7 linked regions of the Kluyveromyces lactis genome follow. The protein of the gene in region 5 purifies or fractionates together with the protein of the main gene of each other region. This does not show direct contact. Links are inferred from orthologs where the notes say so. Each region holds a gene or a part of one and is shown on either strand. Other genes may lie near its edges. The genes, in order: FPR3, NOC2, BRX1, RSA4, NOG1, SPB4 and RRP15.

Region 1 (3,981 bases), on a different chromosome or scaffold from region 5:
CACTAAACAAAAAAGTATTGAAATTCGGTATATGAATGTAAAGTAACATTTGTATTCTATATAATCATATAGCAAGAACATCAAGCACACAGATATATCAACAAGATGGCTCAAGTATGTGGGAAACAAGTGCTATATCCATACCCTGGAGAAATTACGAAAGAAAAGGATTGACTCAGCGATCATGACGACGAAATATAGTAATTGGCGACATCTATTGGCAATATAAAATGTAATGAATGAATTAACACCATAGCATAAATGAGAACAGTCTGGACCAGATGCTGTTCGATTCCAGTAATGTACAAGTGGGATATCTTAATTCGAAGTTTTAACGATTGCAGGAAGAGACTTCATATGATAACTGGATTCATGAGATAAAGGAATATATTTAACGGATCTCACGACTGAGAATTATGGGAACAATTTAAACAAGTACACAAACCAAGGTTCGCAGACTGGAAGAAATATACGGTCGGAACTATAAGAAATAAAAATATGTGATACTTTAAATATTCAGTGTTGGTTTATGGATATTTGTATCATAGATGACTAACATCATGCTAATCCATCTCCTGTTCTTTTAATATTTTCTATGGGTTTTTCGTTATTGCCTATTTTATGGAGAAGAAGTTAACATGTTTTCATCCATTACTCTTAGTTTTGTTACATACAGCCGAACTCATGTGAGATAATGGAATTGAAACTGTGGGTTTCCTTCTCTATACACGGGCATAACTCGATAAAATATTGTTTTCAGTTTTACTAACAACGAATTTTTCAATTCAATTTTCAATACAGGCTCAAAAGTGGTATCCAGCTGAAGAAGTCCCAGCTCCAAAGCAAACCAGAAAGGCCGCTAGACCACAAAAGTTGCGTGCCTCCTTGGTCCCAGGTACCGTCTTGATTTTGTTGGCTGGTCGTTTCAGAGGTAAGAGAGTTGTCTACTTGAAGCACTTGGAAGACAACACCTTGTTGGTTTCCGGTCCATTCAAGGTTAACGGTGTTCCATTGAGAAGAGTCAACGCTCGTTACGTCATTGCTACCTCTACCAGAGTCTCCTTGGAAGGTGTTAACACTGAAAAGTTCAACGTCGCTTACTTCTCCAGAGAAAAGTTGTCAAGAAAGCAAAGAGCTGAAGCCAACTTCTTCAACGAAGACCAACCAAAGAAGGAAATCAAGGCTGAAAGAATCGAAGACCAAAAGAACATCGATAAGGCTTTGTTGGCTGAAATCAAGAAGACCCCATTGTTGAAGCAATACTTGGCTGCTACTTTCTCTTTGAAGAACGGTGACAGACCTCACTTGTTGAAATTCTAAGAAAGCGAAAAACAATTCAAAACTTTAAGCTACTTTGTTATATAATATTAACATAACTTTTATATCTTAAGGGTGTATTAAATCCCTTTCTAGTGTTTGCAACGTCGTCATCCCCACAACCTTATTCTATAAGGACAATTGATTGTAACAATTGGTTTGAACTACTTTTGCCTAAGAGTCTCTGCTATATATTCATGACTGTTTTGCAGACACACCAGTTAACACTATAACCAACGTGTGTACCCTGTCTGACGACCCTTTCGAACGATGTATTTCAATATGTCTTGTACCCTAAGCGGAGGTCGATAAAACTCATCACGTGCAGAAAAGAAACGTCGAATCTTCTCTACATAAAGTTCGTTTCTTTTGGAAAATTTTCAGAATTTGGAATAGTTAAGGTTGTGAAAGAAATAAGAGATGGACGCCATATAAGAGAGATGAGATGAGATGAATTACATTAGGTAGAGTCTTCTTGAGTGGAAGAACCTTTTTCATAGAGGTTTAGTTCGTATATTTTTTTGTAGACATATACCCACAGATTAAGAAAACTCTCATTCTAACTGAATAGCATAACAATGTCTGACCTATTACCTTTAGCTGCTTACAATTTGAACATCGAGCCATACACTCCAACCCCGGCCATTGATGTTACCACGCCTGTTACCGTGCGTATCACCATGGCTGCTATCGATCCAGAAGCTTTGGATGATGAGAAGAACCCATCTACTTTGAGAATTATCAAGAGAAACCCAGACTACGACGATGAAGATGATGCTGGTGGTTTGTTGGGTGATTACGACGAAGATGAATTAGACATTTCCGAAGAGGAAGAAGAAGAGGAGGAAAAGTCAAAGTCTAAGAAGGGTAAGGGTAAGGGTAAGTCCAAGAAGCAAGAAGAGGAAGAGGAAGAGGAAGAGGAAGATGAAGATGAAGGCGATGAAGAACTTATCGAAATTGACACCGATGACGAATTCCAAGAATTCGTCCTAGCGACTTTGTCACCAAAGACTCAATATCAACAATCTTTGGATATTGTAATTGCTCCAGAAGAAGAAGTTCAATTCATTGTTACTGGTTCTTACCGTGTTTCTCTAACCGGTAACTATGTCAAGCACCCATTCGATGCACCAGGTTACGATGACGAAGATGACGATGAAGAAGACGATGAAAGCTACGATGAAGATGAAGACGACTATCTAACCCCGGATGAAGAAGCTGATCTGGAAGAGTTAGAAGATGCTAGCGACGTTGAAGCTAAGATCCAAGAGCTTGTCGAAAAAGAACAATCTAAGTCTAAGAAGAACAACAAGAGAAAGCAACCAGAACCAGAAGAGGAAGAGGAAGAGGAAGAGGAAGAGGAAGAGGAACAAAAGCTAGTTGAAGAAACTAAAAAGAACAAGAAGGCTAAGAAAGAAAAGAAGGTTGAATTCAAGAAAGACCTAGAAGAAGGACCAACCAAGAAAGAAGAAAAGAAGGAAGAAAAGAAAGAAAAGCCAAAGACCAAGGTGCTTGAAGGTGGTATCATCATCGAAGACCGTGTCACTGGTAAGGGTAAGGCTTGCAAGAAGGGCTCCAAGGTCGGTATGAGATACATTGGTAAGCTAAAGAATGGTAAGGTCTTTGACAAGAACACCAGCGGTAAACCATTCGTTTTCAACTTGGGCCGTGGTGAAGTCATCAAAGGTTGGGATATCGGTGTTGCCGGTATGGCCGTCGGTGGTGAACGTAGAATCGTCATCCCTGCTCCATATGCGTACGGTAAACAAGCTCTTCCAGGTATTCCAGCTAACTCCGAATTGACTTTCGACGTTAAGTTGGTCTCTTTGAAATAAATGGAAAAGGATATATAATCGGCATACATATTACTCCTTCATAAATACTTACTTTAAATCAAAAAAATAACATTCTGAAAGGTGACAGTTGACGTTCCCAATGGAGAAAATGCTCTCACTCACAAATTTCTTGGTTTTGATATCTTAGATAGGCTTACTTCTCATTTTTTATAAAATCTCAACGAACTTGAAACTAAACTAGCCCTAAAACAAACCACATTTTAAGGAGAAGGAAAGGACGAAGACACCAGAAGTTGGTCAAACAACAATAATTTACGGACATTCTGATTTACATCCTTATTGACTGCAACCTGTTAAGGCGATTAGTGAACTGAAGGTTAATTGAAAGAGACTATAACTACCGTTTTGCGTGCAATTTGTAATAATTCTATTCTGAAACAGGAAATTTTTGTGAGCTAGCCGCTGAAGATTAAAACAGCAAACAAAAACAATAAAGGAAGGGAACAAAAAACCCGCTCCAATTGTGCACATAGTTAATCTCTAACTGGAACAGTCGACGTCAGTAGTTACCAGTGTAACATATCGAACTGAACAATAAACTGGAATATCTAGGTGACATAACAGTATTAGGTCACGTTACTTATAAAATACAAAAAAAAAGAAAAATTAGGTGTAATTCTCTGCTACTTACTAATTTAGTGCTCGTGGCTAATCTATTCATACCCAGCAGCCGAGTCGAAACATTTTATCGCGTCAGAGCTTTTCCTACAACCAACAGTTTCGGTGTTTTCGCTTATCAGTATTTGCACTGAATTTTTCTAACAATATTTTACGCGTCGTTTAAAGTACCAAGAGATCATCATCTCAT
Region 2 (4,953 bases), on a different chromosome or scaffold from region 5:
AGCCGCTAGCTCCTGCAAAGTCATTTCATCATTATCTTCTTTCCTTAGTTCATTCTCAAATTTCTGGAGTTCGTTCTGTTTCATTTCTTCTGCTTCTCTCACTTTCTCATCCATCCGTTCCCTGATTTCTTCCTTTTCTTCAATTGGCAAATGAAAGAAGTCCGGAGATTCCAAGATCTCTTCCATTTGTTGTTGAATGCCGTCATCGTATTGATACTCAACTTGGCGCTTTCTTGCCTCTATTTCTTTCCGCTTATACTCTTGATAACCGCCCATTCGATCAATTTTAACCAATATGGTATTCAACATGTAAGACATCCCACATTGACATATAGACCTCCATTTATTTATTAATTCGATAGTCTTGAGTTCGTTGTCGTAAGTTTGCATTATTTTCACTGCCCTTTTCAAAGCAAACTCTTTCTTCGTAAGATCTCGTATTTGTCGATCAAGATCGTTCTCTAACCTCCGGATCTCCTTTAAAAGTAACACACTACCCGTAGATCTTTCTTCAGGGTTTCTGCAAGATAACTTGGGCAAGATATCACTAAATGAATCATTCTCTTGAACTAAGGTTGTTTCACTATCACCTTCAAAATTCATGACATTCGACATAACGCCTGTAATGAGTACTGGTATAAGAATTATTCCACTTGGTCAAGTTATGCCTACCGCAGATTGTACTCCCGAGCTTTGTATTCTGAATGTAATGTTGAGTATACATGTTTAAAATAATTTACATAATGTAATTTCTATTTTCATGAAATTTACCGCCGATGTCTTTGACAAGGAGGCAATCCAATATAAGATGGTCGAAGACATAGGATTACCAATGAATTTAAAATTGAAGAAAGTTTGAACTTATCATACAATCATTTGATTATTCATCTGCTTCAGATTCAGCATCATCCATTACTATGTCTTGGGCTCCGTCAGAAATATTTTCTTCTTCTTCATCATCGTCAGATTCCAAGGATTCTCTTAAGAGTCTGGCCTTTTCTTCCTTAACCTCATTTTGGATAGCAACCCAGGAACCAAGAGGAGTATCTTTCCACGATATTTCATTTAAGAATTTTTCTACTTCTGTTCTGTTGTTTGGTCCGAAGTCTACATCTGATCTCTTCTTTGTAATGAATTGAGCGTTTTGGTTGATTTTATCTACCACGTTTTGCAACATCTTGTTAAACTTTACATTCTCAGAATTCTTGATATAACGACGTAATGAGATAACGGCAAGCGTTGTTAATTCTGGGAATGAAACGCTTCTGGAGTATAGAACAAAGTACTCACCTAGCAAATCTACAAATTGCTCAGCTAGCCCGTCTTGGTATATTTTTGTCCCCAAGTATGCTTGTGTACACTTGATGTTATGATCAAAGTCAAATGCAGGTAACGTTGACTTTCTAGGTTTCTTTGTGAATGCAGTAGAGGAGAGAATCTCAGATAATAATGGGTAAACTGGAATGAAGATACCAGTGTTTTGAGATAATCTGATCAAGGATCTGATCAAATAAAATCTCAATGGGAAAAATTGTGCTGTTGGAATCAATCTAATGACACCAATGGTAACTTGGACTAGTGGGTAAATCAATTGTCTAAGAGGGGATTCGTGGCCGTTTTCCTTTTCTGGGTTACATTGGATGGATATAACACGAGACCAGAAGTCCAAAGAGTGACAGAACTGCCAGTTATATACAATCTTGTAAGCACTTGATGGGTCCACCTTTGAGGACCTCTTAGTTGTGGCATTGATACTGTTTCTCAAGTGAATGGCTAGTTGTCTGATATATTCGAAACCCGATTGATAACTTATAACGTCATCAATACCGAAAAGTTCAGCAGCAGAGTTCTTTTGGAAATTGATTAGAGGCATGTTTCTGATGTTAGTTTTACGACAACTTTTAATGAAAGTAGAATACGTGGACTTCAATACAACTTCTAATAAAGCTTTCTTATATTCACGAGAGGCATTGTTCAAAAACGCGAATGTGGCAATTTGAGTTTCAACGTCTCCAGTAGTGGACCAAACTTCGACGACTTGAGAAATTAATTCTTTTAGTAATCTTCTAAATGAAATAAAGTATGGTAATAGCTCATAGGTAGAATGCAAAATCATTGAAGCGACGTCTGTGTTTGTGATGTCACTTAGGAGAACGATAAGAGATGGAACGTGCGATTTCAAAACAGAGGACAATTTTGTAACATTTTTATTTGATGGGAGAGTTCTGGTTTCATTCTTACTGACCCTATAAGGTGTCAATTTTTGGACGGCTTTTGGCATATCCACAAGGGCAACGAACATTAACTCGTGGAAGGCTTTTTCATCAAGAACTGTGAACTTGTAATCGTCTACATTTTCCTCGTTGTTCATGTTCACAGCAGCTTTAAAAGCTGAAACCACACTTCTGATAGTTTTGAAAGATGGGCTATTTTTTAAATCCTTCTTCCATTTATTTACGAGCTTTATGTCGACGGCAATTTTGCTATCTTTTTCCTCCTTCTTGGACTTTGATAAATCAGGTTCTTTCAGTTCTTCTTCTTCACCCACTTGCCCTTCTTCGTCATCTGATATTTCATCTAGAGGATTGGTAGATTTGAAAGACAAAAGATCTGGTTCGTTCTCTGCCAAATATTTGTAGAAATCAGGATCCTTCTTTGCCAAATCTTCCATATCCATTTTAACATCTTCATCTTCTTCGGCAGAAGACTCTGAATCATTATCTTTCACCTTTGATGCTTTTTCGGTTTCTTTAGCCATTTTCTTTGACATTTTTGGAATATCGAACCCATTGTCGAAGAACTCTTCAACCTTCATGTCGTTGAAGACTTCTTCCTTAGCGGACTTCTTCAACTTTTGATCTTCTTTGGTCAACGCAGCTGCATTCTTTTCTTCTTCTGTCTTATTACCCCTACGACCGGCGGTTCTCTTAGAATGATCTTTTAACTTCTTTCTATGGTCCAACGTATGCTTCAAGTGTTTCGTCTGAAACTTTTTAGTAGCTTTTGAAACTTTACCCATTGTGTAATTCTTGATCCCTTTATCAATAGGTAACAGGTCCCAAGATTATGCCTTTGATCAACAATATGATTTCAAGAAGATTATCTAGAGCGACTACTGGTTAAGTTGTTAGAGCTGCGTTAAAGTTTCTCTATATCTCTTCTTGGGGCATCTCATCTCATCTCATCTCATCTCATCTCATCGGATTGAATTTTGGTTTGGATATTTGGAAAACTTTTCATGGCGTTTCTTTTTGTATCCGGGTAATGGCATCGCCTTGACATCGATGAATAGTGCAAGTAATATGGTAATTGACATGCTTGGAAAGGTATCGACAAAAGATGCAACAAACTGCAAACAGAATGTCGAGAGATGCAACAGTTTTGAGCCGTTATTGATAAGAGTACTGAGGTATATGCATCAGAAAATAGTAGTAGTATTACCTTTTATGAAATCACGGCTCCAAGCTTTTAAGCAGTTTACTCGGTTTGTATCATGCAAAAGCTGTGGTGTTGAGTTGCAATCCAAGAATCCTTCTGTGACAGGCTACTATAAGCCTCCTCGCGCTGTCAGGAAAGATGCTGGCACCATTGAAGATTTGAAGTATTTAATGTTCACACAAGAACTTCAGCTAAAAAAACATGAAATCGGGCTACTTGATCCAGACACCGATCCAGATTATAAAGAACCTATTCCCAAAAGATTGGTTTGTAAAAGATGTGTCGATGCTATAAGTCATAACAGGTACAACTCATCTGATTTTCCAATTCATTCTTTCAACGATATAAAGGGCGCTTTGCCGCATGCTGCAAACGTATACCACGTTGTGTCTTTGTCTGACTTTCCCTTGTCATTAGACAAAACTATCCTGGCAGAAAAGAATAATAGAAACTATTTACTACTTTCAAAGGCTGATCAGATCACATACAAGTCATCAATGCTACCACATAAAGGGAGTGCTTTTTTTGCGGAATTTTGTAGACGTCATATAGGCGTACATGTTAAGAAAGTAGTATTGTTCTCTAACCCAAGAAATTGGAATATTCCATCAGTGATAAATGCTTTGGCTAAAAGATGCTATTTATTGGGTAATCCTAACGTTGGGAAAACGTCTCTCATTAATTCTTTGCTCCATGAAAAATCAACAAGTTTCCAAGCTCAACTTGATAAGAGAGGCAACGTTATTGGTCCTCCAAAAGGCCACGAACAAATACAAAGTACTCGCCGTAGGGCCATCTTCAATGAAGGTGGAGTATCACATATTCCCAACTTTACCAGAACCATGCAAACTTATTTGATAGAAGATAAAGTTGTGAACGATTTACCAGGGTATACAATGGATCCTACTAAAGTATCCGATCTAGCGAATTATATCGAGAAGGAAACGCTTGATAACATAAGGAAAACCTCAAAGTTTAAGATTGATAAACTGATAAAACAAAATTACACCTCTTTGACGGGTTCAAAAACTGGTAAATGCCTGTCTTTTGGAGGAATTTTTCATCTTGTTCCACCAAATTCCACTATAAATCAGGTGGTTAATTACATTCCTCTTCCGGAGCATGAGTTTTCAAATGTCGAAAAGGCTGTTAGCTTATCTCTAGAGGTGCTACAGTCAGAAAATCATTCACTTCGCCAATTTTTTGCTCTCAAGAAACCATTTACTGACATTAAGATGTTTGATAGGCACGTAATTCCTCCATTTAATGGAGCAATCGAAATTGTTCTAAAAGATATCGGATATTTTCAAGTTAAACCTACTGGAAAATATGGTTTCAATGGTCTTTATGAACTCTGGGTCCCTAAAGGTATCAGGGTATGCATTAGAGAACCGTTATCAAAATTGATATCAAAAAGCTATGAAAAGTATATTGAAAGTGGAGACATCGCCGATGTTTGTCCAACCGATCGTCCACTAATTTCAGACACCTATATTATGAACCATACCGAAGAAG
Region 3 (3,503 bases), about 570 kb from region 5:
CATCTTAGAAAGCATGCTCGAAGAGCCATGAAAATGTCAAGAATAACTCACCTTCTAAGAGCCGTTGAATTGTCGTATTGAGACCATTATGTGTCCATTCTATTGTCTTCCGTATCCAGTTGACAGAATTCAGCAGTAAACATACGTTAAACTGTGTGTACTCTCTGGTTTTTACCAGTTTTATACGAGCTGCTCTTACATGATTGGTCCAGTAAACTGTGTGAGGTGTATGGGTGTGTTGAAGAATATGCTACGTCTGTTTCTGAGCGATTTACTCTTAAAAAGCGTGTAAAGCAGGATTTCCTTTCTCAAAGCTGAAAAATTTCAAAGTTTCGAATTCTTCTCACTAGAAAGAACAAGGCGGTTTTGAGCGAACTTTTGCACTGGATCAGATGCGTTATTAGTGGTATCCTATACACCTTTGTTCGAGATTCACTCTGTTAGAATATAGACCAAGAAAATAATTTGATATACGATGAGTGCTGCATACACAATTTTGGGTAGAACTGTTCAACCACATCAATTGGCCCTAGGGACTTTAGGTGCTGTATTATTGTTGGTTATTCCAAACCCATTCAAGTCTAAGCAACCAGCCAAGCCATTATACTCTACTTCCTCTAAGGGTGAGGAAGATTTCATCAAGGCTTACTTGGAAAAGCATACTGCCAACGCTGAAAAGCACTAAAGATAAAAGTCAGGACATTTTTACTTCCTTATTAATTCTACCCACTTGACTGTTCAATTCACGTTTCCTGAAAATTATACAGTATGATTTGTTATTACTACGCATAACATCTTCGTATTTGGGGAATAGAAGAATGCAATGGCATTGGGCAAGTAAAATATTAATAAATCTATTAAAATTCAAACAAATGATAAAAAAAACATTTCAAACAGCACACTGTGGTTCACACCAAATGTAAAAACGTTTTCCCCATGACGTTTCATGACGCTTCAAGTTTAACTGGTATTCTGGCCCCCCAAGTTAACTAAATAAATTAAATATTCATGTACGACTTTAACGTATAGTATAGTTAGGAATAAAACGAAAAATTATATTATCAAAAACAGCCCATTCAAAAGCATATATATAGGAGTATACATATGTACAAGTCTGAGCAGGAAGAACGCCGTTCTCCTAAGTTGACAATATATAAATCATGATTTTTTCTAGAGTTCTGGATTGTACTTTAATCTTTGAACAATGCATCGTTGGATAATGGATCTACAGCCAAGACACTTTCTCTCTTCTTTAGTTTCCTTTCAACAGCAGCTTCGGCTCTGGTCTTAGCTTCCTTGGCAGCCTGTTGTTTAATTTGAGATCTAACGAAGTTTGGCGATACGTATTGTCTGTTTTCGTAGATCTTTGGACCACCAAATGAACCTTCAAGGATCAAAATCGGTGTCATCACGAAACGTGGGCCAATTTCAACTAACGACGTTTCATCTTCTTCTTTATCCTCATATTCAACGTTGTTCCTAGCTTCATGCGAGATCTCATACGTTCTTACCCAGATCTTTTCGTCAACTATACTGAAAGACATGATATGGTCAATGAATGGCTTGGACTTTCTAGCTTGAGGTGGTACACCGAAGTTATGGATAAAAAGTTCTTTAATTAAACGGTAGTGCGGTTCAGAATCAAATCTACCATCAAATGACAATATTGGTCTGGATCCCTTCAAACAGTTGCCAGTGAAGTTTAATTCGTCCATGGTATGTAGGTTCTGCAAATAAAACTTGATTGTTGGTCCATTTGGTGGCTTTGATAGCCATAGGTACAAATCCTGGTGCTTTCTAGCTTCAAAGAATATAATGTTATTACAGTTGTACAATTCCGCAATCTCATTCAATTGTCCTAGATCCTTCTTCGTGTCCAACTTAGGTTCCTTTCTCGAATGTGGTAGAAGACTGTTCAAATCCTGAACCAAATGACGATGTCTATAAGTAACACCTCTGGACGTAATAAGTAAGGTACGTTGCTTATTCATGAACTGTTTCTCATTACTGTCACTGTTAGCCGCATTATTTTTGTTCTTCTTACCGTCTTTATCCTTACGAGACAAAGTCTTGAAAATACTCGACATTATAGAAGGATTTGCTTAGCAGTTCTTGGCTTTTTCTTCCTTCCAACTACTCAAGTGTAATACAATAATCTCAAAGTGTTTAGACCGACGATGTATAGATTGGAAGGATCAGGACAACCTTGTTCAATACCTCTTCTCATCTCATCTCATCTCATCTCATCTCATCTCATCGCCTTTTCTAACTTTTCAAAAATTTTCAATGTACCGAAAAAGAAACTAAGGCTCATCAGTGATGATTTAAAATAGAAAAGGATAGTTTCTCGAAAAGAAAATGTTCGTATCGTCTGCCAACTGGCTTCTATCAGATTCAACGCGGGTGGGGATTGTATGGTGAGGTCTTGCGTTTATATTTCAAGCAGTAAGAGCGCTGATGCCCTTGTTAGGCTGTGCCGTTTACATTTATGGATACACATACAGTTATAGTTTATTATCCGGGTAATCAAGACTGAAAAATTACGATATTGGCTTAATTCAGCATTCAAACTTCTAATGAACAACCTCATACGCACGTCGTTCGTAGAACAACCCGGTATGTCTGGCAGTAACGGTGTTCGTTGCTGTTTGATCTGTTAGATTTGATATCGACCAACACGAAGAGTGGAAACTGTTGATATGAACTCTGAAGATCATCAGCTTTTTCAGCTATTAGATAGGGAACTGTTTAAGAAAGCTTCACAGTTTGTTGCATCATTGCAGAAACGGTACCCATCCGCCACTTATTACAAAGTGTTAGAGCAATATGTCAAGTACAGGCAATCTCCTGCGAAATATAGTTTTGAAAATGGGTTAAAGTTGATCTTGGATGCCAAATCTCCTCCAAGCGATGCGAAATCGCTATCAATGTGCCATCGATTTTTGTTGGAATTAGGTTTTGACACCACCAGTGCATTGGAACCTTATGAAAGAGCAATGATGAAATACGGTAATTCGGAGACATGTTATGATTGGTTCTTGGAGTCATTGAGGGATTTAAATTGGAGACATTTGAGTAAGAGTAGTTTCCAGATGCCACGAGTCAATGAAAAATCGAAATCGAGATTGTTCCAATTCTGGAACAGTATTGCTACTGTAGTATGGTTTCAGTTGGATAAAGATAACATTAACGAAAGGGAATTGGATCTTTTACCTAAGTTGACATATAAATTGACAAGCGATTTGAAACCTTTTGAGAATGAGCAAGAGTTGATCGTTTTCTGTAAAGTTTGTGAATTGTTTGAGGATAAATCACAGGAGATCGTGGACGAGATCCTCAAGTTTTGGAAACATGGTACTTACTTAGACCTTTATTTGAAAAACTTCCTTATGGGCCATTTGGTGAAATTAGACGATTATAAACTCATTTGGAAACATGGAATCTCGTTATTGAATAACCTTGACGATTATGGTATTTTGCAAAAGATTATAGATGCAAGTTAC
Region 4 (4,434 bases), on a different chromosome or scaffold from region 5:
ATGTGCTATCAACAGCATTGAGACGGCTCTTCAACGTATCAATAAATCCTACTTCAGGATGACGTATATTGTATTGAAAAACTTCGGCAGCGTACAGAAGAATGTCACTTTACAGACTAACGAGAGTGTCTTTTTCAACATAGCATACTTGTTCGTGAAAGATTTTGCAAAAAACTTCCTTCTATTAAATGTCGCTACACCGGAAACTAAGGCAATTATTATTCGCCTTATGATTCAGATCAGCATAGACTGGTTAACTTTTGTTCTTGATGAATGTGATCCGGCCAATCCAGAAACATTTAGATGGTGTGTCCCAGCAATGGAATTTGCTATGCGTATGACCAACGGATGGAATATTTTGGGGATTGAGGAGAAGGAATTCAAGTTGTTGAAAGAGAAGATTGCTAGATGTATGTCATTGTTAATATCTCACTTCGACATCACAGGGGCAAGATCCAGAGAAGCTGAAAGGATTGATGCTCAACAAACAAGACCAAACTTTGATATCGATGATGCTGACGATGATATGATTTTGGCTGTTAATTCAGAGATGCGTATGAATGCAATAACAGATATGGAAAAGGTTGTCAAAGTCAAAAGGCATTATTCTGTTGGTAAAGTTATTGATGATACCGATAATCAAAGCAAATTGTTGAAATCTCTTGCTTCTTCAATATCTAACCTTTCTATTAGATGGCAAAAGCGTAGCTTTATCGGAAGTGGTAGCTTTGGTACTGTATATTCCGCTGTTAACCTAGATACTGGTGATATTTTAGCGGTAAAAGAGATCAAAATCCAAGATGCTAAATCCATGAAGCAAATTTTCCCATCTCTCAAAGAAGAAATGCGCGTCATGGAGATCTTAAATCACCCGAATATTGTTCAGTACTATGGTGTGGAAGTTCACAGAGACAAGGTTAATATCTTTATGGAATTCTGCGAGGGTTCCTCCTTAGCCAGTTTACTCGAACATGGCCGGATTGAAGATGAAATGGTAACTCAAGTTTACACACTACAATTACTTGAGGGATTGGCATGTTTGCACCAATCTGGAGTTGTGCACAGAGATATCAAACCGGAGAATATCTTATTGGATCGTAATGGCGTTATCAAATATGTAGATTTTGGTGCCGCAAAACTCATTGCAAAGAACGGATCAAAGAGGATATCACTGGATGCCAATAACAAATCTACAGGCGGGAAAGATATGATCGGAACACCGATGTATATGGCACCAGAAACGGTGACTGGTCAAGGACACGGAAAATTCGGATCCGATGATATATGGTCTTTAGGTTGTGTTGTACTGGAAATGGTGACCGGTAGACGTCCATGGGCTAACTTAGACAATGAATGGGCTATCATGTATCATGTTGCAGCTGGTCACCTTCCGCAATTCCCAACCAAGTCTGAAATTTCATCTGCGGGTAGAAAGTTCATAAGCAGATGCTTAATACAAGATGCCAATAAAAGAGCAACTGCAATGGAATTGTTACTTGATCCCTGGATTTCTCAAATACGTAACATTGCATTTGGTGGCAATGCAGAATCTTTTAATAATGAAACTCATAACTAGTTCTGATAGACATAAAAGTTTCCTCCCCATGACGATCATATGTAACAATTGTAACCATAGATTTTTTTTTTGTATAAGTATTGTATGTATATATAATAATAATAGGAACTTTTGTTTGACTTTTTTTTAAACAATGCCGGATCCGTATAGTATCAATGTAACATGCACTTTCCGTTATCTGTGAGTTGCTTGCCAGTAAGTAAATTGCAGTCTAGGAATTTTTTGTGCCTGATGCTCCCCATAAGGTATTCAGAGCATAGTTTCAACATAATAAAGATTTATATTACCCGGAAGTGGTGAACTAAAAGAAATTCTTAAGTTCAAGAAAATCTTTTGAGATGCCGATGAGATGAGATGAGATGAGCTTCAACTACCAAGTCGACTTCCCTAAAAAGGAGAAGGTTCTGGTGAACGATATTAGTATTCCAGCAATAATCACAGGTCTTTTCTCGAAAGAAGTTTTTAGGTAATTAAACGAGCCCAAAATAATTCTCTGAATTTGTTAGGCCAAGCAATCCAAACGAAACATGGCAACCTTACTCCCACCGCCTTCAAAGAAGCAAAGAAGAGAAGCTCAAGCTGAACGTGGAGTTGACCTTATTCCCAAAGACCTTCCAAATGTTCTCATTAAATTCCAAGCTTTTGACAGTGGTGAAACTGTTGGAGGTTCTCTAAGGGTTCCAGGTGGTATTTCGGAGCAGCAACTGGAGGAATTGTTGAATCAGTTAAATGGAGACTCGGCAGATCCTGTTCCATACACGTTTAGCTGTTTAGTTAGCAACAAAAAGAAGGATGCAGATGAGGAAATGGTAGATATTAGAGATAATCTATATCAATCCATTTTAAAACCAGGTTTGAAAACTACCGAAGATTTTTTGACTCTAGTGTATACCCCAAGAGCTATCTTCAAAGTAAAACCAGTAACTCGGTCGTCTTCTGCAATTGCTGGTCATGGCTCGACAATTTTGTGTTCTGCATTTGCTCCAAATACAAGCTCCAGGATGGTTACCGGTGCTGGTGACAATACTGCATGTATCTGGGATTGTGACACTCAAACGCGTATGTGCACGTTACAAGGCCATCACAACTGGGTCCTATGTTGTTCCTGGTCTCCAGATGGTGAATTAATCGCCACAGGTTCTATGGACAACACAATTAGATTATGGGAATCAAGCAAAGGTAAGCCTTATGGTGATGCTTTAAGAGGTCACTCGAAATGGATTACCTCCTTATCTTGGGAACCAATCCATCTTGTCAAACCTGGTGACAAACCGAGATTAGCAACTGCATCCAAGGATGGAACTATCAAAATCTGGGATACAACAAGAAGAGTTTGCCTTTTAACCTTATGTGGCCATACGTCTTCTGTTTCCTGTGTCAAGTGGGGTGGAAAAAATGTTCTATACAGTGGTTCTCACGATAAAACAATCAGATGCTGGGACATGAATTTGAACGGTAAATGTATCAATATCCTAAAATCACACGCCCATTGGGTTAATCATCTTTCACTTTCAACAGATTATGCATTAAGACTCGGTGCGTTCGATCACAAGGGCGAAACTCCTGCTTCACCTGAAGAAGCCCAACAGAAGGCTCTGAAAAATTACGAAAAAGTTGCTAAAAGAAAAGGTGACTTCGAAGAACTGATGGTAACTGCCAGTGACGATTTTACTATGTATCTGTGGAACCCCTTGAAGTCTACTAAACCTATTACCAGAATGACCGGCCACCAAAAGCTCGTCAACCACGTTGCATTTTCGCCAGATGGCCGTTACATTGTTTCTGCATCCTTTGACAACTCCATTAAATTATGGGATGGAAGGGATGGTAAATTCCTATCCACCTTTAGAGGACATGTAGCGAGTGTCTACCAAGTAGCTTGGTCAAGCGACTGTAGACTACTCGTTTCTTGTTCCAAAGATACCACTTTAAAAGTCTGGGATGTCAAAACTAGAAAACTGTCCGTCGATCTACCCGGTCATCAAGATGAAGTCTACACTGTAGATTGGTCTGTAGACGGTAAACGTGTATGTAGCGGTGGGAAAGATAAAATGGTCAGGATATGGACTCATTGAGTGGATCCACTGCATCTGAATAATTAGCATGATTAAATTATAGACTGCCTTATGTATGTTATAGCTTCTTTTACATTTATTATGAGGTGCACAGGTGTCCCTTCTTCTTACAAGCTGAAAATTTTGAAAAATTAAAGCTTCAAGCATAGTTGAAAAGATGAAGAACGATTCAGCCGGCATTTACCATAGGAAATCGATAAGTTATCTATATAGTAAGAAAGGTGTACACCGGGAAAACCTGCATAACCACACAACAGCCTACTAATAATACAACGGCTAGTTAATAATGCTTACAAGAGTTACAAGAAGTTTTGCGGCTATGAGCCCAAGATCATTTCGGATTTGTACTAGACTACAATCAACCCAAGCACAGCAACCACAACAACAGGAAAACTCAGAAATTGAGCTTTTAAATGAACTTAAATCAGAAATGGACAAATTGGGACCATTATCTGATGCCGAAAGTGCCGAACTCAGTGCTTTATTTGACAGTCAAAGTCCTTTTACAGTATTCCCAAAACTTGAAGACGTAAGCCCCGAGGAAGTAGTGGGAGCCGCTCCATTTGGGAAGAAAACATATTTCATTCAAAGAAGTATTAACGGAAATTTACCTGTGTACACTGACTACAAAAACAGCAATAAGATTGTCACCGAAATCAGAAAGATTCAAGGGGATCCTGTGCAGCTAAGAAACGATCTACAAGAAAGGCTTCCTTTCATTCCAAAGAAGTACTGGAAGGTGATACTTCAATCAAATAAAATTATCATTGAAGGTGATGCCAC
Region 5 (4,624 bases):
ATCTGTGTCTTTTATTTCACTGATATCTGTCATATCAGACTCTTTTTCTAAACGATTCTCATTTGGGTTTATCGATATATTAGAGGCTGTAATCAACGGCGATGGTAAGCCTTCCATTTTTTTTTCGATATTTTGAATTGTCTTGCTGTTGTGAGACCCTGATGATAGAATACTGTTACTTCGATTCACGCCCATACTTGTATAGCGATAAATTAAGACTCTTTATTTATAAAATCTGGTATTTGAGCCAATGGTCTTGGATATGCTCCAAAGCGTTGTTAGAGCAAAACTGAATATCTTGTTTTACCTTCAATATGAGTCTTTATAGCTCAATGCTCTCTTATTTGCTCATTTTGTGACATCTTAAAACTGACACCGGGAATTTTTCTTCGAAAATCATACGAACACTTTTCAGACGGAAAGCACCTTTTACAATTGACATATACAAAGAGCATATATCGTTTTGTAGAGTTTTATTGGAGCTTTTATGTCACCCGTACTTTCAAGTGCTAAAATCTCATGGCTTATATGTTACTGAGAGTCAATTTTTTGTGAAAGAGGCCTACCTAGATGTGTGTTGTGAAGCCGTCCTTTTTTTTCTTGCCCTGTACTAAGGGCACATAGGAGAGAGAAAAAAAAAACTGTCGCCTGATAAACCGATAGAGAAATAATAGAGGCAATCAAATATAACTCAAGCAAAATGATGTTGGTCGACGGTTAAATATTCCAGGTATACTGAGATTGTTTTGGTGAAATATTTATGTCAGTGTTTCCTTTTTTTCTATTTTATTTAGATCCTACAATTTTCATCCTTTTTATTCTTCAAGATTAGTCAATAACTTTCAAAGATAAAATTGTTACTGAGGTCAGAGGGATGTTGGTTATTTGGTCAAGGAAAAGCAAATCAAAGGTATAACTCTTATAATTTTACAGAGTACGTAACTATTTTACAAATAAAGGAGTAATAATTAAATTTAACCCACCCAATGCAGACAAATAAATGAAAGTAGTGACTAATATATATAGTTCAATAGAGATAGAAAAGAAATTGGCAACACGATAATATATGTTCGAAATCACCAGTGATGGAAAGGAAGGAAGAACAGACAGTTTAACGGAAATCAGTCTTACCAACACCACGCTTACCTGAGAACAAATGTTTTGGTAGAGAGGCAGTAGCATGTCTGTCAGATTCACCGGCTCTGGCCATTCTGTTTCTTTCTCTTCTTTCTAATTTGGCCATTCTTTCAGCCTTCGATCTCATTGAACCATCAGCAACACCGTCTGTCAATCTATCTGTCTGTCTTAGCTTACCAGCTGGAGCAGAATCTTCTTGATCACCGTATACCACGTCAGCACCAGTTTGCTCATATCTGTTCTTTTCAGCAGCGACTCTTTGCTTATCTTGCAAAGCAGTCATATCGTGACCTAAAGAAGACATGTGCTTCTCCATGTCACCATATGTCTTTGCCAATTTAGAACGAGGCATGGTACCACGGTTCTTCAATGCCTTTCTGTTTCTTGAAGCATTGATCATCTTCTTTTGTCTATCTCTAATCCATTCTGCCTTTTCTCTGATCTCAGAGATTTCGTCAGCATCAAATCCTTCGTAAGTTTCTTCTTCGTCGGATTCATAGAAGCCTTCAGATTCTAATCTTTCTTCTTCTTCCTCTAAAGCTTGTAATTTGATTGCGATTTCTGGATCCAAGAAGTCATAAACGTTCTTACCATCTAAGATTTCTGGCATGACATCGTTCTTCCATTCATCGTCTTCCAATAGATACTTGTCCTTCAAATTAACGTTGTATACACCGGCCCCACCGTTTTCGATTTCAATTTCTTTAGCCAATTTTCTTCTGTTTGGATCTTCTGGATCATATTTCTTCATCTTAGCGATGGCTTCTGGAATATATGGAGTTCTGTCAATACCATCATCACGCTTTTGAGGTTGAGCGACGTGGATCTTGTTTAAGACGTTAGTGATTCTAGCTTGAGATTTTAGCTTGTTTTCAATTCTGGAAGCCAACAACTTTTCACAAGCCTTGTTTCTAACAGCCATAACGTTATCTTCTTCATGACAAGAAGTGGTCATGATTTCAACACCTGGAACTTCCAAAACAGTATCCAAAAGTTTCTTACGTTCTTCGTCTAAATCTTCAGGTTTAATGATATCAGTCTTGTTAATGACGACCATGACGGATTTATTGGCAAACAATGGTTTGATCGAATGGAATAATTTGACTTGAGCTTCAATAGAGAAACCACACTGTTCTGATAGATCCATGAAGTACATAACAGTAGAACGCAAATGAGCAATAGCATAAATGGATTGCATTTCGACGTTGTTCATTTCATCCGTAGGTCTATCCAAGATACCTGGAGTATCAATCGCTTGGAATCTCAAGTATTTATAATCAAAATGACCCACATATAGCGACTTGGTGGTGAAAGCATAAGGTTGCACTTCGACATCAGCCTTAGTGATACATCTCAAGAAAGAGGATTTACCCACATTTGGATAACCGCAAATCAACAAAGTTCTGGTGTTTGGGTCGATGGATGGCATTCTACCCAAATGTTGTCTAACTTGTTCCAAATACACTAAAGGATCCTTCAACTTCTTCACAATGGTAGCCATTCTACCAAGAGCGGCTCTCTTCAATTGTTTACATTGGAAAAGAGATTGACCGAATTTTAACAATCTTGTGTAATCTCTTTCAACTTGTTCGACCAATGTCTTAGCACGACTCACAGCAGCCAAAGAAACTTTGAAATGATTCTTTTCATACAAAGTATCCATCAAATCCCTATGGAAAGGATGCACGTCGTTAATATTAGGGAAACCTTTCAAAATATCATCAAATTTTTCCACGAACCCTTCACCGGTGAACTTCACCTTTCTCATGTAAAACGCTCTGATACGAGTGATATTGAAACCTGGTCTAATAACAGTAGGTGTCTTTCTTTGAGTTCTGTTCAACACAATGTCCAACAAGTCATTGGCAGGAGCCACGGTCGGAATATCTTTCCAGGATAATTGCATTGTTGCTTAATTGATTTGACGTAAACTTTGGGATACACGCACACACGGGGACAACAAAAAACAATTAAACTAGCAATAATGCAGTTAAGCTATGCTTAGTTGTTTGAACAAACTTCCAATCTATTCAAACTACCTGTCAAACGGATGTCACACTGATAATCAAGCTCTGTCTATCACTTCGAATGCACAATGAGATGAGATGAGATGAGATGAGCTTGCCGTTTGGAAAATTTTCCCACTACTGCAAACCTTTGAAAAGAAAAAAAAAATTGTGCTTTCAGGATTTCTTTTTCGTATGGATCTCAGAATTGACCGTTAAAGGCATACACATTGGTTATGTCACGTGACTAAAGCACTTTCTTTTGAGACTGTCGGGGTAACAATATATTTTACTGTTAAAATGTATGTGAACATTTTATTTACGGTTTACGTTTCAACTTTCAATATATACAGAAATATCAATGAGATTTTGATCTGAAAGAATACAGCTTGAGTCCAATCTCTAGATTCATTATAACTTTCTAATCACTACCTGATAATTGCCTAATTTCCGGTAGAATTGCCTTATCCGCCTTTTTTTTTTGAATTTTTCTCTTCAAATATAGATTTGTTTCGTTACTATGTCGGAACCAAGCCCACAATCTACGATAGCCATTGCCAATCTACTCAGGACTCATAGCGACTTGAAGCAAAGACAAGGATTGTTCCAATCGCGTTTAGTTGACTTCTTCCGTTATAAAAGATTTGTTAGAGCTTTGAAAAGTGATAAATATAAGGCAAAGTCCAAAAAACAACCCGAATTGTACCCCGCTGTGACAAGCGATGAAGATGCTCGTAACATTTTTGTTTCCTTAATCAAGGCCCAATTTGTCGTACCAGCGGTTAAATTACATTCTGCAGAATGTAAAGAACATGGTCTAAAGCCAAACAAATCATATCCAAACTTATTATTATCGAATAAAGCGACTCTACAACCAGATGAATATTACGTCTGGTCTTATAATCCAAAATCAATTTATGATTACTTGACTGTGATCGGTATCATAGTCGGTGTGCTAGCATTCGTGTGTTACCCATTATGGCCTCCATATATGAAACGTGGTACTTACTACTTATCCATTGCAGCATTGGCACTTATCGGTGTATTCTTTGGTATTGCAATTGTGAGATTGATAGTTTACTTGTTGTCATTAGCTGCAGTTAGCGAGAAGGGTGGGTTCTGGCTCTTCCCAAACTTGTTCGAAGATTGCGGTGTTATAGAAAGTTTCAAACCGCTATATGGATTTGGTGAAAAGGAATGCTATAGCTTCCTGAAGAAAGAAAAGAGAAAGCATAGATCAGTTGCAAAGAAGCAAAAATAACTTCAATGTAACGGACTTCCATCCCAGACTGTACATTAGCAATTTAACTATCACAGAAGGTGTATGTTCATTCTTTCGGTGAGAATCACATACTAATATCACATATAAACATACAAACATATATAAATATAGATATATGTACTCATACTAATATCAGTAGTGACATCTTTGGTTTCTGACACTAGAAATCACCTTCTTTTAAAGTTTTATTTTGCATGAA
Region 6 (4,569 bases), about 880 kb from region 5:
CCATTTCGTAAATTGGTTTTCTGGGCATCTTTTCTATATCCAACATTTCTTTGATTAGATTGGGATCTTCAAGACCTTGGCCAACGAGAAATAGATTAGCCACCATACACCTCACTTGATGCCACAAGAAAGCTGAACCTACCAAGTCAAAGCAGTACATGTCTTCGCTGACGTGCATGATATTTGAACTTTTAATTGTCCTCTTATAATTTGTAATCTGTTTTGAACCATCTAATTTGCAAAAGTTTCTGAAATCATGCTCACCTTCATAGTGTTTGGCTGCCAGTTGCATCCTTTCAAGATCCAAACCCTCTGAGCTGAACAAGTATTTGTAATGTCGACTTTTACAGCTGAATCTGGCATCAAAACCTTTTGGTGGCCGTAGGCAAACTGCAGATACTCTGATATCTTCTGGTAAAATCTGGTTTAAAATATTAACATATTGAATCTCCTTGTCGTCATAGCTGGGATCAAGCTGCTCTTCTGCAGTGAGATTCGAACGAACTCTCAATGAAATTACTTGATTCATGGCACTAACGCCTCTGTCTGTTCTTCCACATCTACTAAACTTATATTCTTGAGGAACCATGGACGGAACAAGTTTGCATTTATTCATGGTCTCTAATATCGTACCCTCGACAGTAGGTAAAGGAGTCGCATCTTTTTGAATTGCCAATCCGTTATAGTTCCATCCCAAATAAGCAAACTTGAAGGCGACAAACCGTGTGTTGTATTTGGAGAAGTCGAATTCCCTTGATTTCCTAGGTTTCTTGACGTTCTTTCTTCTCTCTGCTTCAACAGCAGCGTCCGCAGATCGCTTTTTTACCTCAGCCACGGTATCTGAGTTATTTCCTTTAGCATCACTACCATTTTCACTAGTATTTTCCAGCTGTAGCAATCGCTCAATCAACTGTTCCCTGGTCCAATTCTTATAAGCAGACTGGTCAGTGGACATTGCTGACACAGTGCCTTTACCATCTAGTTTGAAAAGTTTTGATAAAAATCCCATCCCAGTATATGTAGTCTTGAAAGAATTATATCACAAGGCTAATATAACTTCATAGAAGTTTAACAAATAGATCATATCAAACAAATTTGAATACAAATTGTTATGAATGGAACAACCATCGAGAACAACGCCGCATCAATGCCAATCAGCATTAAATGCAAGTTTGTACAGATTTAATGGAATTTTTTTTCTTTTCTATTGGGATGGCAGCTGGAAAGAAAAAAAATAAGTTCAAGCTCATCTCATCTCATCGGGAAAATGTATCCAGATTAAATCAGTGTGAACATATGCATACATTTGAAATCCAGGAGTAAGATTTGACCAACAAGGTATAAACTCACCACTCCAAAGCCTAGTCTAAAGTTTCGAACTGATACAAAATGTCGAAGTCGTTATCGTGGGACGATTTGAAATGCGAGATACAACCATGGATTAGAACGGCTATAGAATCGATGGGGTTTGAGACCATGACGCCAGTTCAAGCCTCAACTATTCCGTTGTTCTCTGGTAACAAGGATGTCGTGGTAGAATCTGTTACAGGATCTGGTAAGACTATAGCGTTCGTGATTCCAATTTTAGAAAGGTTGATAAAAGAAGAAGCCAATTCGGCCAAATTCAAGAAATCACATTTCCATTCGTTAATCATTTCACCAACCAGGGAATTAGCCAGTCAGATTCATGATGTGATAGAAGACTTTCTGAAGTATTATCCAGATAATCTGTACCCAATACGGTCGCAATTACTCGTCGGAACAAGTAGCGCTAGTGTTCGAGACGATATCAATAGTTTTACAGATAACAGACCCCAAATACTAGTTGGTACTCCTGGGAGAGTCCTAGATTTTTTGCAGAAGACTAATGTAAAGACTGCTTCCTGTGGTACCGTCGTGTTAGATGAAGCTGATAAGTTATTGGATTTGAATTTCCAGAAAGATGTAGAAACCATTTTAAAGATGTTGCCGAAGCAAAGAAGAACAGGGTTGTTTTCGGCAACAATCGAAAGTGCGGGTGCGCAAATCTTCAAAACAGGTATGAGAAATCCAGTGAAAGTTGCTGTGAAGTCTAACTCGAGCGCACCTTCATCTCTTTCGATAAACTATATCGTCATTCCACCTAAGGATAAATTACAACTATTGTTGACTCTACTCAACAACTACAGATTCAAGAAATGCATAGTTTACTTCCCGACATGTATCTCGGTCACATATTTTTACGCATTCATAAACCATTTGAAAGAGCTTAATTTGATTCAGGATGATCTAAAACTCTTCTCACTACACGGAAAGCTACAGACGCAATCGAGAATGAAGACGCTTGACAGTTTCACTTCTAACTTGACCGATGCCGTACTATTCACCACAGATGTTGCTGCTAGAGGGATAGACATACCAGATGTTGATCTAGTTATCCAACTTGATCCACCAACAGATGCAGATATATTCATTCACAGATGTGGTAGAACAGGTAGGGCTAATAGGATTGGTAAGGCACTTGTGTTTTTAAATGAAGGTAGAGAAGAAGATTACGTACCATTCCTGGAAGTGAAAAACGTCAAACTAGAAGAAGAATCTGTGGAACTGAAAGGCGTAGAGAATCTAACCAAAATATTCCACGATTGGATTTTACACGATAGAGCAAGATTCGATCACAGCGTAAGAGCATACGTTGCATTTATAAAATACTACTCAAAGCATACTGCATCATCGATCTTCAGATTCCACTCCATGGATTTCATCGGCGTTGCGAACTTTTACGGGTTGTTACGTCTGCCACGTATGCCCGAAATAACCAGGTATGCTGCCGACCAAATTCCGGAGGAAGGTTGGTTGGTATCACCACCAGTGAATTTAGACACATTTGCTTACTTAGATAAACAAAAGGAGAAGGCGAGGTTACAAGAATTACAAAACCTCAAGCAAATAAGCGATAAAAAGAAACTGAAAAGTGAGCTAAAGAAGAAGAACATGGCATGGTCCGATAAGACACTAACTAAAGAAGCCAAAGCTGAAAGAAGAGCAGCTATGGCCATCAAGAGGAAGGCAATTGAAGAGAAACTTCTGCGGGGCGATGAGGAATCAGAAGATGAAGTTGAGCAAGACTGGAAAGACCTTGTAAGACAAAACAAGAAAAAGAAGCATAACTCCATGCAAGGAAGTTTCGATGATTTATAGTCAATTACATATCGTAGATAAATCTATTATAATATAAATGTGCTTGTTTCATTCGAGTCCCCGTCATATAACAATGTGTTTTCAACCGGTACATATTGATGTGTCAATAATTTCACGCATTCTTGTGATACCATTGCACCAAGAATTGATGCCATCGCAGGGCTGACAAACGTTGTATCATGTCTATCGTTTTGTAGCGATAGCAACTTATTGAACTTCGGTTTTTCACTTATAGTTCTAGTTGCCGATGAGAGGCTACCCATTTTAATTGCATCCAAATGTTTTAAGTTCTCGAGCATTTTATCTATGAGTGGTTCAGGTATCAAACTATAATTCTCCTTTGCTAGAATGCGCATGATTTCTGATTTATCCTTGGCAGCTTTACGTTGATATACTGCTTTCTGCGCGTTGAATAGTTTAGTTGAGGATTCCATATCTGGAATGAATGCGGACACAGGTAAATCGCCTCTCAAATCGTAAAATATTCTGATGCATCGTACAAATTGGTATACCCATCGATTAATTGTAGAATTAGGTTCAGCATGAAAACTATTCAAGATGTTGGTCAAATTGTGAGGAAATGGTCCTGATTGATCGTATAACAGGAATGAGGACCTCTCTGCTTCCACAAAGTTCAAATCATTGGTCAAGGGTCCAGAGAGTATAGAATCGTGAAGTTCGATGAACTCTGCCCTCACTGATTTTCTATTGATAGGAATATTCTTTGACTTTAATGATTTTCCCACATTGTACAGTAGAACGGAATAAGGCAAGGAGGATACCTCTTCCTGTGACATATTTTTTACATCGAATGATTCGTGATATTCTGCTAGTTCAGGCCACATACGATTGAGTCTTAAATCGAAAGTGAAATGTCCATGAGAATCAATGACACAATGAGGTTCACTGCCTATAAGACGAACAAATCCCAAGTTATCGTTGGTGGATGCCATTATCAGAGGAACTGCTGAGAGTTTCATGACACGTTGTAACAACGGACCAGCCGTGCACAAACATATGACAATAGAGAAAGAGTTCCATAACTTATGTTGTGAATCAATTGGAACTGCATTCTCGTTCCAAATATGGAACGTAACATCTGGATTCATACTTTCTAACGCATCAAAACCTAAAATATCCGAGTTTGACTTGTTCACAAAATCTGATCCATTAGACGAGCCAAAAACTACAGTAATCTCATGAATACCCATGAGAGCCAAACTCTTGACACATTCTCGCATCAACAATGTCTGATTATCGTCTACAACGCACACATGAGACTGAGAAAGTAAATCCTGGCCTGAATGGCCCCAGATCATCAACTGTCGATCATAACGGTCATCCAAACCACCATTTATCTGATCAGCCATAACCTGTACCAACGCCCTT
Region 7 (3,565 bases), on a different chromosome or scaffold from region 5:
CAACTTCTTCGAAAACGTCTCGATTTGATGCATTAGAGCTGAATACTTTGTCAAATAAGAATCTGCTGTTCCTATCTTCATTGCTTATCTCTATTGCTTGCGATCCATTTCTATTATCAAAGTTAGATACATGAATGTGCGATATATCCTGCACTTCGTTTTCTAAAGGCGGTCTTATTCTACAGTATACTCTGATATTTCCTCGCAGCTCCTGTAGTTCATTATGAAGCTTACGACGCATTGTCTCCTCTTTTATCAGTATTTCATTGATTTGTAAAAGTTCGTTTTTGGAATTAGTGATATACTCATTGAGTTCTTTCCGTTGACTGATAGTTTGCTCTATTTCTTCTTCGACAGTGTCTATTTGCACAGTAATAGATTCCTTGAATACATTCTTCTCATTAAGCTTCTCTTCCAATTTTGCTAGCTCCTTTTCTAAAATGTTACGTTTGTCTTTAGATTGATCCAATTCATTAGTCATGTCATTTTCTATATCTTGACTTAACTTGTTGATATCCTTAATCATGGACTGATTAGCTTCTGTGATATTCTTCCATTCCGTCTGAAACTCTACCATCCACTTCTCTTTAAGATTTGAGTATTTCTTATCAAGTTCTTCCTTTAATTGGTTAATGACATTGTCATTATTATTTACCTCATCGTTTAAGTTATGTATGTCCTTCAATAAATGTTCCTTTTCTTGTTTAAACTTTTGAATCTTTTCAAATTCAATCTGCTGCACTTCAAATTTGAATTTCGACTCTGTTTCATTCATTTCACAGTGGTATTTTCCCTCTATCTTCTTTATTTCTAGATCAAATCCGTTTCTCATAAACTCTAACTTCAATTCATGATCTTGATCCATGCTATTCAATTCATTCTGCTTTAACCCGATTTGTCGTACTTTCACTTGTTTCTCCTCTTTCAAATTGTTCATTTTGAACTCTACAGTTTCCACTTTGCTTTTCAACGAGTTCATCTCATCCTGTGCGGTATTCAACTTGATCTTTTTTCTGGACAACTCTTCTTGCAATCTATTCAGTTCTTTCAGGTTTTCTTTGTAAAAGAATGTCATATGAGTTGAGCTTCTATTTTCAGTACTGGGCGTGAGAGACCTTCTTCTGTTTATACTCTGTACATCTTCTGGATTCAATCTTATCGACTGCCTTGGTTTGTATTTTGGTGAACTTGAACCCTGCTGGGTTGGAGAAGGTATATTAGAACCGTCCTTCGATGAACATCTTTCTGGCGTTGACGGCGGTCCATTCATATTCCGTTTGATTATCAGCCAACCAGTTTAATTTAGTCAAACCCACTACCTTATTACACGTCTTTTCCAAAGCGGTACTGGTTTATATACGTTCTTCAATTGCTATGTCTCCTTTGGTGTTTCAAGATTGTTTTGTTTTCGGTTGATCTTATTATTTGTTTACATCTTTACTAGTATATGTGACATATTTCGAAACTGAACCGGCTTCAGTACACAACAAACCTTCTTTGGGTAGCTTGAACAAGTAGAGGAACCATTACAGATACACCACACTCCAATAAACCCAACAGTCGGGGAACCACAGGCTAGTAAGAGAGTTCAGCTTCAAGTTTCTTATGACGGCGGCTCCACCAACGTCAAATTTGCAGTGGTGTATGGGTGTGTTGATAGAATGTATTTCTTTTTGTTAGTGAACATGCCAAAAAAAATTTCAGTGAAGCACAACTCATCTCATCGCTTTCAAGACTGTATCTGGGCCTTTAGGATCCATCATTGAATTCACACTATCTCAATAGAAGGTTAACTTGCCGGTAGATTGTGCAGTGGACAGCTTTGTATTGTATAGCCGCCTGAAAATACTATGAGTAGCAAGGGTAAAGTGACAATACCTGTCACCAAAAAGAGCAAGTTGAATGACAAGTCTGCAAAGATCAGGGCTCAAACGAAAGTCAAAGAGAATGAAGTATCACAATTGGCTGATGAAGTAGATTCTGATGTGGATTCTGAAGGCAGTACAGGTTCCGAAATAGATAACGATGAAATGGATCTAAATGAAGTGTCGAGTGATGACGCCAGTGATGAAGACAGTGACGATGAAGATGTGGTGAACCAACCAGATGACGATGACTTCCCAAGAAAGAAGAAGTCTTCCAAATCCAAACACGATGATGGATCATCCACATTTTCCAGCGCGTTAACCAATATTTTATCATCGCATTTGAAAGCATACGACCGTAAAGATCCCATTATGGCTAGGAATAAGAAAGTTTTAAAGCAAAATGAAGCAGATAAGTTAGAGCAAAAGGCTAAGAGAGCTATACTCACAGAGAAGAAACAACTACTCAATAAGACTAGAAAGAAAGATATTATACCTGTTGTGGCTGCAGACGCAAACTCGGATGAAATTAGAGAAATTCTTGAGAAGGAACGTAAACTAAGAAAGATTGCCCAGAAAGGTGTTGTGAAGTTATTCAATGCAATTCTCTCTACTCAGGTTAAGACTGAAAAGGAAATCAATGACTCATTGGGTGGTGTGAAGAACCGTTCAGAGAGAAAAGAGTTGATAACGGAGGTTTCCAAGGAGAAGTTCTTTGATTTGGTGAAAACTGCTGGTGACAGTTGAAAAGAGGAAGTTCTATATGATAGAGGGAATCATCTGCATTTATTAAAGCGCAAAACTATGTACATATATAGGTAATCCCAAAGACTGTATAATAGACTAATAATATTATTAATTACAACTTTATCGAAAAAAGATCAGATCAGGTCAGATGAGGGATCAAAATCCTAACCCTCCATTTGAATATGCCATTGGTTTAATATCTGGATGTGGTGAAGCAGAGAAAGTTTCTATTACCAAGTCGCTGTCGATAGATGATTTCTTTTCAGATTTTGTGTTTGGAACAACATGAATGATTGCACCGAGGTTGCCACCGGCGTCACAGTAGTTAGGAGCACTGAAAACAGTGACCAATTGATTCTCATGCTCAAATTCGTAACCGCCTTGTCTAACTTCATGAGACCTGAAGATTCGCTTTAAATTATTCTGTTTCAAGAACTTTCTAGTAATGTCAGGCCCAAACGCATTACTTAAGCCACGAGGAGATGGTCCAAATCCATCCGGAGCCTGTGGATCCGCCCATAATAACTCCATAAATGTTCCCTCTCTTGGTGGTTGGTGGAATCTATCAATTTTCTTCATATCTTCTACAGTGGCAGAAGTATCACTTGGCAAACCACCATGCACGACCAGGTATGAACTATTGATGACAGTGGCTAATGGTAGAGATTCGAAGCTTTGTGAGAAAAGATCGAAAATGCGCTGGGAGTACTTGTATTTGCATTCGTCTTCAAACCCGTACACTTTATTCATGCTGTTGGTTTCATGATTACCTCTGTTCAAGTAAATGTTCTGTGGATACACGATTTTCAAAGAATAGAATAAAATGGCCACTTCACAAGACCATGATCCACGGTCTACGAAATCACCATTGAATAAATATACATTGGAGCCGCCTACTTTCCCATAACTTTTGAAGATGTTCAGAACATCATAAAATTGACCATGCGTGTCAC

Evidence for each region.
Region 1: the proteins of NOG1 (region 5) and FPR3 purify together in Saccharomyces cerevisiae (affinity purification with mass spectrometry; 3 studies listed by BioGRID). This does not show direct contact. The link is inferred for Kluyveromyces lactis from reciprocal best matches to the Saccharomyces cerevisiae genes NOG1 and FPR3.
Region 2: the proteins of NOG1 (region 5) and NOC2 purify together in Saccharomyces cerevisiae (affinity purification with mass spectrometry; 8 studies listed by BioGRID, with this or other methods). This does not show direct contact. The link is inferred for Kluyveromyces lactis from reciprocal best matches to the Saccharomyces cerevisiae genes NOG1 and NOC2.
Region 3: the proteins of NOG1 (region 5) and BRX1 purify together in Saccharomyces cerevisiae (affinity purification with mass spectrometry; 5 studies listed by BioGRID). This does not show direct contact. The link is inferred for Kluyveromyces lactis from reciprocal best matches to the Saccharomyces cerevisiae genes NOG1 and BRX1.
Region 4: the proteins of NOG1 (region 5) and RSA4 purify together in Saccharomyces cerevisiae (affinity purification with mass spectrometry; 4 studies listed by BioGRID, with this or other methods). This does not show direct contact. The link is inferred for Kluyveromyces lactis from reciprocal best matches to the Saccharomyces cerevisiae genes NOG1 and RSA4.
Region 6: the proteins of NOG1 (region 5) and SPB4 purify together in Saccharomyces cerevisiae (affinity purification with mass spectrometry; 8 studies listed by BioGRID). This does not show direct contact. The link is inferred for Kluyveromyces lactis from reciprocal best matches to the Saccharomyces cerevisiae genes NOG1 and SPB4.
Region 7: the proteins of NOG1 (region 5) and RRP15 purify together in Saccharomyces cerevisiae (affinity purification with mass spectrometry; 3 studies listed by BioGRID). This does not show direct contact. The link is inferred for Kluyveromyces lactis from reciprocal best matches to the Saccharomyces cerevisiae genes NOG1 and RRP15.

The regions. Positions count from the first base shown.
Region 1 is NC_006038.1:420,745-424,725, reverse strand, and holds FPR3 (peptidylprolyl isomerase FPR3), read left to right. Parts: upstream 1-1,895; coding exon 1,896-3,152; downstream 3,153-3,981. Other genes in the region: RPL6A (60S ribosomal protein eL6), read left to right, coding at 106-114, 802-1,320. UniProt on the Saccharomyces cerevisiae protein: Proline isomerase that belongs to an abundant class of enzymes that catalyze the cis-trans isomerization of X-Pro peptide bonds and can accelerate the refolding of proline-containing polypeptides. Specifically binds nuclear localization sequences.
Region 2 is NC_006042.1:101,885-106,837, forward strand, and holds NOC2 (mRNA-binding ribosome synthesis protein NOC2), read right to left. Parts: upstream 3,020-4,953; coding exon 881-3,019; downstream 1-880. Other genes in the region: MEI5 (Mei5p), read right to left, coding at 1-615; GEP3 (Gep3p), read left to right, coding at 3,285-4,953. UniProt on the Saccharomyces cerevisiae protein: Involved in the intranuclear transport of ribosomal precursors.
Region 3 is NC_006041.1:1,577,318-1,580,820, reverse strand, and holds BRX1 (ribosome biogenesis protein BRX1), read right to left. Parts: upstream 2,088-3,503; coding exon 1,191-2,087; downstream 1-1,190. Other genes in the region: MDM20 (Mdm20p), read left to right, coding at 2,700-3,503. UniProt on the Saccharomyces cerevisiae protein: Required for biogenesis of the 60S ribosomal subunit.
Region 4 is NC_006039.1:747,634-752,067, forward strand, and holds RSA4 (Rsa4p), read left to right. Parts: upstream 1-2,103; coding exon 2,104-3,651; downstream 3,652-4,434. Other genes in the region: mitogen-activated protein kinase kinase kinase SSK2, read left to right, coding at 1-1,576; IMG2 (mitochondrial 54S ribosomal protein mL49), read left to right, coding at 3,938-4,434. UniProt on the Saccharomyces cerevisiae protein: Involved in ribosome biogenesis. Required for processing and efficient intra-nuclear transport of pre-60S ribosomal subunits.
Region 5 is NC_006041.1:2,149,648-2,154,271, forward strand, and holds NOG1 (putative GTPase NOG1), read right to left. Parts: upstream 3,044-4,624; coding exon 1,112-3,043; downstream 1-1,111. Other genes in the region: DTR1 (Dtr1p), read right to left, coding at 1-195; Sec63 complex subunit SEC62, read left to right, coding at 3,664-4,404. UniProt on the Saccharomyces cerevisiae protein: Involved in the biogenesis of the 60S ribosomal subunit.
Region 6 is NC_006041.1:1,267,512-1,272,080, forward strand, and holds SPB4 (ATP-dependent RNA helicase SPB4), read left to right. Parts: upstream 1-1,389; coding exon 1,390-3,180; downstream 3,181-4,569. Other genes in the region: pseudouridine synthase DEG1, read right to left, coding at 1-1,009; ULA1 (Ula1p), read right to left, coding at 3,207-4,569. UniProt on the Saccharomyces cerevisiae protein: ATP-binding RNA helicase involved in the biogenesis of 60S ribosomal subunits. Binds 90S pre-ribosomal particles and dissociates from pre-60S ribosomal particles after processing of 27SB pre-rRNA.
Region 7 is NC_006038.1:956,690-960,254, reverse strand, and holds RRP15 (rRNA-processing protein RRP15), read left to right. Parts: upstream 1-1,850; coding exon 1,851-2,612; downstream 2,613-3,565. Other genes in the region: KAR3 (Kar3p), read right to left, coding at 1-1,270; PPT1 (protein serine/threonine phosphatase), read right to left, coding at 2,769-3,565. UniProt on the Saccharomyces cerevisiae protein: Constituent of pre-60S ribosomal particles. Required for large subunit rRNA maturation, in particular processing of the 27S pre-rRNA at the A3 and B1 sites to yield 5.8S and 25S rRNA.